Linked DNA regions of Stegostoma tigrinum. The protein of the gene in region 1 purifies or fractionates together with the protein of each later gene. This does not show direct contact. Links are inferred from orthologs where the notes say so. Each region holds a gene or a part of one and is shown in the gene's direction. Other genes may lie near its edges.

Region 1 (3,913 bases):
TGACCAGATGTCATAAAGTAATCTATTCCCATTTGCCAGTATACCTCTAAACCCTTTCTATTCATATACCCATCCAGGTGCCTTTTAAATGTTGTAATTACAGCAGCCTCCACCACCACCTCCTCTGGAGCACATTCTACACACAAACCACCTTCTGCATAGGTCCCTCTGTCTCCCTAAGCCTAGCCCTCTAGTTTTGTACTCCACTACCCTGGGGAAACGACCTAATGTATTTACCAATTTAATCTATTTAATATTCCAACTGCTACAGTCAATGTATTTGGGTAGGGAAGAGAAGGTGTCTTTGGTGGGGTGGTGAGGGACATTTGTGGAGTGGGGGTATTTGGGAATGGAGAAGAGAACTCGGAAAGGGAGGTCTGGGGTTGGAGAGAGAATTTTAGGGAGGTGGTATTTGGGAAGGATATTTAGGCATGGGGAGAGGTATTTCGGGATCGGACATTTATGGATGGGGATGGCCTATTTATGGATGGCGAGTCTGGTATTTGTGGATGGAGAGTGGTATTTGGGGAGGGAGAGGAATATTTGAAATAGGAGTGTTTGTGAAAGGGAATTATAGAGGGGATGAGTATTTGTGGTTCGGTATTTGGGCAGGGGAGGCTATTGTGGATGGGAGCGGTATTTGAGCAGGGAGAGGGCTATTTGAACAGGGGATGGGAATTTAGACAGGGGGAGGTGTATTGTGGATGGAAAGGGCACTTGATTGGGGGTGTATTTAAGCAGGAGAAGGGTATTTGAGCAGGGGAGGGGTATTTAAGCAGGTGGGTGGGGTATTTGATCAGGGCGAGGTATTTAAACGGGGGATATATGATCAGGGTAGGGGTATTTAAGCGGGGCAAGGGTTTTGAGCAAGCGGAGGGGTATTTGATCGGGGCGGGGTATTTAAGCTGGGGGTAAATGATCGGGGAGGCGTATTTAAGCTGGAGATGGGGCATTGGGGGCGGGGTCGGGACCGACTCCGCCCTATGGGCGCAGCGCATGCGTGCGGCGGGCTTTAGACCGGACTGAAGATGGCGGCGACGGGAGCGGGTCCGTGAGGAGAAGTCGGGACAGAGTGGGTCTTCTCTGAGAAACCGGGGTCTGCGCAAGCTGGGTAGCACAGGTCAGCGGAACCGAGGCCCATCCGAAACCGGAACACTGTCGACAGGGAAACTGAGAGATTAAAAGTGAATGAGAGGTCGGGGGGGGCCGAGATCCTCGTCACTGACCCCGCCCACCCGTCACTGACCCCTCCCCACCACCCCACCCTCGTCACTGACCCGCCCCCACCCTCGTCACTGACCCGCCCCCACCCTCGTCACTGACAACACCCCGACCTCTGTCACTTACTGCCCCCACCCCACCGTCACTAACCACTAACTCACCCTCCTACCCCACCCGCTCCACACCCCCGTCACTTACTCTTCCCTGCTTTCACTGACCCCTCCCCCATCACTGACCTGGCCCCCAAAACTGACCCCTCTCCCAACACATGACTTGCTTCCATTCTTGACCCCATCACTGACTTCCCTCCATTCAGTGACTCCCCCCTCCCCCAATTACTGACTTGCCCCTAATCACTGCCCCACCTCACCATCGTTCCTGGAAGCTCTGCAATCAGTTGATCTCCTCGAATTGCTGACCCTCTCCTTTCTGTGACTCCTCCACGAGTCTGACACTGCCCCCCACCAAAGCACAATGACCCTCTTCTCCCCATCACTTAGGCTCCTGCATCACTCTGAGCCCACACCCAACACTCCCCTCTCACCTAGGCTCCTGGATCACTCACATCACCTCCCCCAACTAATCACATGGACCTCACTACTCAGTGGCCCTCCAGATGCATGCTGACTTTTCCAGTCCCCACATTTACCACCCTTCCAACCATGCTAACCCCCTAATTTCCACACTGACCCCTGTGACTCACACTTGATCTCCAGATCTCACCGACACCCTCCAGACTTGGCTGACATCTTTCAATATCATTCTTCTCTACTGTCCCTGTGTCCCTTGAATTTTTAAAAATGTAGGCATCTTCAATGTACTTAACAATCAATCCTCCACAGCTCTTTCGGATAGAGAATTCCAGCTGATGTTGGAGTGTCTTTCATATTGAACTGAGGCAATCAGCGATCTATTTCCTACGATTCGTCTCATGCTAATTCCCCAGTAGGCTAATTCTCAAAGTTTGCTCTTAAGTTTACTTTGATTTCACTTGCTGCCTTATGTTTTCAGTTCTTATCTGGCCAGTTATCCTTTGGGTAGCTCACTGCCTTTCAGTGCAAGTAGTCAAGCAAATGTTGGTCTTTGAAATAACTTTCTTATATCTGCTACTAACATTACCATCTTCCTTGGGCACATGCTAAGCTCACGCTGAATAATAGATAACGGCAGCCATCTCAGAACATGGAGTGAAAATACTGAAGCTGTTTCCTCCACTAAATTTGTTTTTACATAGTTTTACAAATTGGAGAGACACTAATTTGGAAAATGACGTCTAAAGGCACCAGCACATCCTACTCCAGGAGAAGTTATCGGTTGACCTCTGATACAGAAAAACCAAAGGTCACAGGTATGTTTGGTATCAAGGGTTGGGACAGCCTGAGTGATCCTAATTGTGATGTGTGTGTGAACATCCTATATCTACTTAGTTTGTGAGAGAAGTATACTTTGTTTGGGAAGTACTTAAAAATAACGTGAAAGATTGGCAAATTGAACAACTGAATGTATCTGGATGGAATTGTGACCTGTGAAACTGCTTGGATGGGAAATGTGTTTTTGTCTCCTGTTTCACTAATCGATGACTTGGTGGCATTCCCCACAATTGTAAGCCCATTGAAATCCCATGTTGCTGGCAACTATGTTTGGATTTCAGCACTCCGAAATCTAATTGGTGGCAGCCCCGACTCAACAGTAACGCTCTCACCCTACGTGCAAAGGTTGTGCAAGGCTAGGAAATGCAAGTATACTCTGATGTTATTTTTAACGGCTTCAGCTGATGCAGTGTGAATAGTTGTGATGCCATCAGGAGTGGCTCTCCCATGTTAGGTGTGCGGTCTGTGAGCGATGGTCTGACTTAGATGACCAGAGGTTGAAACCTGGGACTTCACTAGGTGGGATCCATCACCAGGTTGCAGTTGGAAATCTTTGAAATTAACCAAGTGGTTTGCCGACCAGAGGTAGGTCTGTAACCACTTTACAGGGTATGATGGTATTCCAGTCAAGACTGCTTGATTTCAGACAAGTGTGAAGATTTTACTTGTGCGACTGTGTCAAGTAGAGTGCTTTATTATTTGGTGATGTTCTCCTTCACAAAGGATATTTTTGTTATAGACATTGTGGATTTCAATGTGTGCCAGCATAGGAAGTAACAGAAGCTCTCTCGATGCCAGAGAAGTAATCTTCATCATTGCTTGGAGCTGGGCATCTACCTTGTTGGTCCAGCAGTTCCTGAACCTGTTGAGCAGCAGTATTCTAAGATAATAAAATGTGAGGCTGGATGAACACAGCAGGCCAAGCAGCATCTCAGGAGCACAAAAGCCGACGTTTCGGGCCTAGACCCTTCATCAGAGAGGGGGATGGGGAGAGGGAGCTGGAATAAATAGGGAGAGAGGGGGAGGCGGACCGAAGATGGAGAGTAAAGAAGATAGATGGAGAGAGTATAGGTGGGGAGGTAGGGAGGGGATAGGTCAGTCCAGGGAAGACGGACAGGTCAAGGAGGTGGGATGAGGTTAGTAGGTAGCTGGGGGTGCGGCTTGGTGTGGGAGGAAGGGATGGGTGAGAGGAAGAACCGGTTAGGGAGGCAGAGACAGATTGGACTGGTTTTGGGATGCAGTGGGTGGGGGGGAAGAGCTGGGCTGGTTGTGTGGTGCAGTGGGGGGAGGGGATGAACTGGGCTGGTTTCGGGATGCAGTAG
Region 2 (3,913 bases), on another chromosome or scaffold:
AGGGCAATCCAAGATGAACTATAGATGTTGGCCTTGCCAATAATGTTCACTCATATAAAAACTGAAAGAGCTGCGGATGCTTTAAATTAGGAACATAAACAAAAGTTGCTGGAAATGCTCAGCAGGTCTGGCAGCAACTGTGAAGAAAAAATCCTTCTGAGAAAGGGTCACCAGACCTGAAACGTTAACTCTAATTTTTTCTTCACAGATGATGCTAAATCTGCTGATGTTCACACATTTTATTAAACACTTTGTTCATGGGATTTGGGCAATTCATTCACGCATATTATTATCTGTTTTTGGAACAGCTGGGTCAGCCACAGTTCGCGTCTCTGAGGCACGAGGTGGGAGATCCAAGTCCCACTCTAGGAGTCCTGCACAAAAATATAGACTGATGTTCCAGCGTAGAACTGTAGGAATATTATAAAGTTGGAGCTGCTATTTGTTGGGTGAGAGGTTAAAACCAAATCTTGATTTGCCCACTTGCCTGAAAGATCCCAAAGGCACAATTTCAAAGTGTTATTATCCCTGGTGTCCTGGTGAACATGTAACCTTCAAATAATATCACAAGAAAGCATGCACCATAATAACCAGATTTTCTTGTGATCCTGTTTGAAGGTTACATTGTGGGAGTGGATTTGATTAGCTCAGTTGACTGGATGGCTAGTTAACAATATCAAGAGTGTGGGAGGTTCAAGTCCTGCATTGACTGAGGTTAATGCAAACAACTCTCCTTCTCAAACTCTCTCTGTGTCTGAAAAGTATGTTAACCCATCACCAGTTATCTCTATCCAGTAAGAGAGTAGCCCATGTGATCCAGTAAGATTATGATGAATTTACTTTGTGGGAGCTCATTATGTGCAATTTGATTGCTGCGTTTCCTCTGTGACACCAGGGACTGTGCTTTAAAAAGCTGTATTTAATCGGCTGTAAAGCATTTGTGGTAGGTCCTGTATGGGTGTACCTGAACGCTAAGTCTTCCTTGCTCTTCAGCAAGTGATGGGGGGGGGTAGAGAACTACAACATCCAGGATGCATTGCAAAGTGCGCGCACGCGCTGTCGGTTGACCCCGCAGGGAGGGGGTGGGAGGTGAGAGGTCGCACTGGTTTGTGAAGGTGGAGGCGGCAGCGGGAGGCCGGGGTCGGCGGACATACCGACTGCAATGATCACCGGCGACAGGAGTAGGCCGTGACTTGGAGTTGAGAGGAGGCCATGTTTGTGCAGGAGGAGAAGATCTTCGCCGGTAAGGTGCTGAGGCTCCACATCTGCACCATGGAGGGCACCGAGTGGCTGGAGGAGGTGACCGAGGAGACCAGTGTCGAGAGCCTCAAGGAGCGCTGCTTGAAGCATGTAAGGGCAGGCCCCGGGGCCCGGGGACGGCTGGGAGCCCCGGGGATCCCTGTCTCTTCGCAAACCCCCCACCTGCATGATTTTCATTCCCCTCCCCCTTTCCTCAGTCTTTCACTTCTTCTTTCTCTCTCCCTCAAGTCTTCACTTCTGTTCACCCCACGCCCCCCCCCCCCCCCCCCACCCCCCCCCTCCCCCCCCCTCCCCCCCCCCTCCTCCCCCCCCCCCACCCCCCCCCCCCCCCCCACGCCCCCCCCCCCCCCCCCCACGCCCCCCCTCCCCCCCCCACGCCCCCCCTCCCCCCCCCACGCCCCCCCTCCCCCCCCCCACCCCCCCCCCCCCCACCCCCGCCCCCCCCTCCCCCCCCCCACCCCCCCCTCCCCCTCCCCCCCTCCACGCCCCCCTCCCCCCCCCCCCCCCCCCCCACCCCCCCCCCTCTCCCCCCCCCACGCCCCCCCCCCCCCCCTCTCCCCCCCCACGCCCCCTCTTTCCCCCCCCCCTCGCCCCCTCTTCCCCCCCCCCTCTTCCCCCCCCCTCTTCCCCCCCCCTCTTCCCCCCCCCTCTTCCCCCCCCCTCTTCCCCCCCCCCTCTTCCCCCCCCCCTCTTCCCCCCCCCCTCGCCCCCCCCCCCCCCCTCGCCCCCCCCCCCCTCGCCCCCCCCCCTCGCCCCCCCCCCTCGCCCCCCCCCCTCGCCCCCCCCCCCCCTCGCCCCCCCCCCCTCGCCCCCCCCCCTCGCCCCCCCCCCCTCGCCCCCCCCCCTCGCCCCCCCCCCCTCGCCCCCCCCTCGCCCCCAAACGCCCCCCCTCCCCCCCCCCACGCCCCCCTCCCCCCCCACGCCCCCCTCCCCCCCCCACGCCCCCCCTCCCCCCCCCCCCTCCCCCCCCCTCTTCTCCCCCCTCTTCTCCCCCCCTCTTCTCCCCCCCTCTTCTCCCCCCCCCTCTTCTCCCCCCCCTCTTCTCCCCCCCTCTTCTCCCCCCCCTCTTCTCCCCCCCCTCTTCCCCCCCCCTCTTCCCCCCCCCTCTTCCCCCCCCCTCTTCCCCCCCCCCTCTTCCCCCCCCCTCTGCCGCCCCCCCCTCTGCCGCCCCCCTCGCCGCCCCCCCTCGCCGCCCCCCCCTCGCCGCCCCCCCCTCGCCGCCCCCAAACGCCCCCCCTCTCCCCCCCGCCCCCCACCCCCCTCTCCCCCCCCCCCGCCCCCCCCTCTCCCCCCCCCTCCCCCCTCCCCCCCCCCCCCCCTCTCCCCCCCCCCCCCCCCCCCTGTTCCATGATGATCGTTTTCTTGATATTTATAGTTTGGGAGAACAAGCTGCAAGCATGGAGAGATGATTCATGAGTCTTTGTAGCTAAGTTTTCATGTGAGTACCCAGTGTAGCTGCTTCAGATGTAGTTTTGTTTTCTGTTTGGTCTTGATAGAGTGTAGCACTTGCCTGATCTGTAGGGCTTCCCCACATCCAATAGAAAGTCACGCCCTGAAATCTGGTTCTCAATGCACATTATGCCTGACCTGCTGTTTATTTCCTACATTATTTTTTCCTTTTGTTTCCAATTTTTAGTGAACACTATCTTCTGAGCTTGTTTGCAATGACAACAGTGATTACAACTTCAGATATTATTCTCTGTCTGTGAAGTGGTTTGGGACATCTTGACGACATTAAACAGAATTGCAGGAAAAGCTCAATGGGCCTGGCAGCATCTGTGGCGAGAAATCAGAGCTAATGCTTAGGGTCCAGTGACCCTTCTTCAGAACACAGATCTGTGCTTTTCCAGCAGTTTTTGTTTTTGTTTCTGTTTTCCATTATCCGCGGTTCTTTGGGATTTTATTGAGGATATTAAAGATGCTTTAAAAATGGATGCTCACTTTTTTCCTAAACTGAAGTGCAAACTAAAATTATCCTAGGTTTACCCAAGAAAAATTTTTAAATTCTGATCTGTTCTAAGTGTCACCGAGCCTGAAATGTTAACTCTTGATTTCCCTTCACAGATTCTGCCAGACCTGCTGAGCTTTCCAAGCAACTTCTATTTTGTTTCTGATTTGTTTGAACTGCCTTGGTTATGAATTTGGTTATTCTAATGTAAATTCATTATAATAATGTATAATTTGTTATTATATTCATTATAATATAGTATAGTATTATATAATATAAGCAATGTAGTCTGAAAAAGATTACCAGGCAAACTCAAGGTTACAATTGAAGTGAAATGACTTGATAGTAAAATCTGACTTGGTTTTTATTTATTTAGCTCATTATGATAGTCATTGTTCACGAGGTTGCAGAGTGTCTTTAACAATAAACACTTATTACACAAATGAAACAAAATAACTGACAAGCTGCGTTTCAATGTAGAAGAATGTTTAGAATAATCTAACTAGATTATTGAATGATTAATTAGAATGACCCCTTAACACAATGGTTCAAACTGTTTCTTGACGCCTGCCTATTTCAGTGACTGAAGCCTAGAAAATTTACATTTCATTTCACAACTCTCTAGGGCTCTACTTGGCTGACTGGGAAACAATTCAGTGACTCTTTTCCTCATCTGCTGATGTGAATTCTTTTCATTAGCCTAAC

Evidence for each region.
Region 2: the proteins of E3 ubiquitin-protein ligase RNF123 (region 1) and ubac1 purify together in Homo sapiens (affinity purification with mass spectrometry; 7 studies listed by BioGRID and IntAct, counting the BioPlex papers as one, with this or other methods). This does not show direct contact. The link is inferred for Stegostoma tigrinum from reciprocal best matches to the Homo sapiens genes RNF123 and UBAC1.

Annotation. Positions count from the first base shown.
Region 1 is NC_081364.1:65,894,632-65,898,544, reverse strand, and holds the start of E3 ubiquitin-protein ligase RNF123, read left to right. Parts: upstream 1-1,004; 5' UTR 1,005-1,120; intron 1,121-2,455; 5' UTR 2,456-2,487; coding exon 2,488-2,569; intron 2,570-3,913. UniProt on the Homo sapiens protein: Catalytic subunit of the KPC complex that acts as E3 ubiquitin-protein ligase. Promotes the ubiquitination and proteasome-mediated degradation of CDKN1B which is the cyclin-dependent kinase inhibitor at the G0-G1 transition of the cell cycle.
Region 2 is NC_081382.1:38,038,651-38,042,563, reverse strand, and holds the start of ubac1 (ubiquitin-associated domain-containing protein 1), read left to right. Parts: upstream 1-1,094; 5' UTR 1,095-1,212; coding exon 1,213-1,350; intron 1,351-3,913.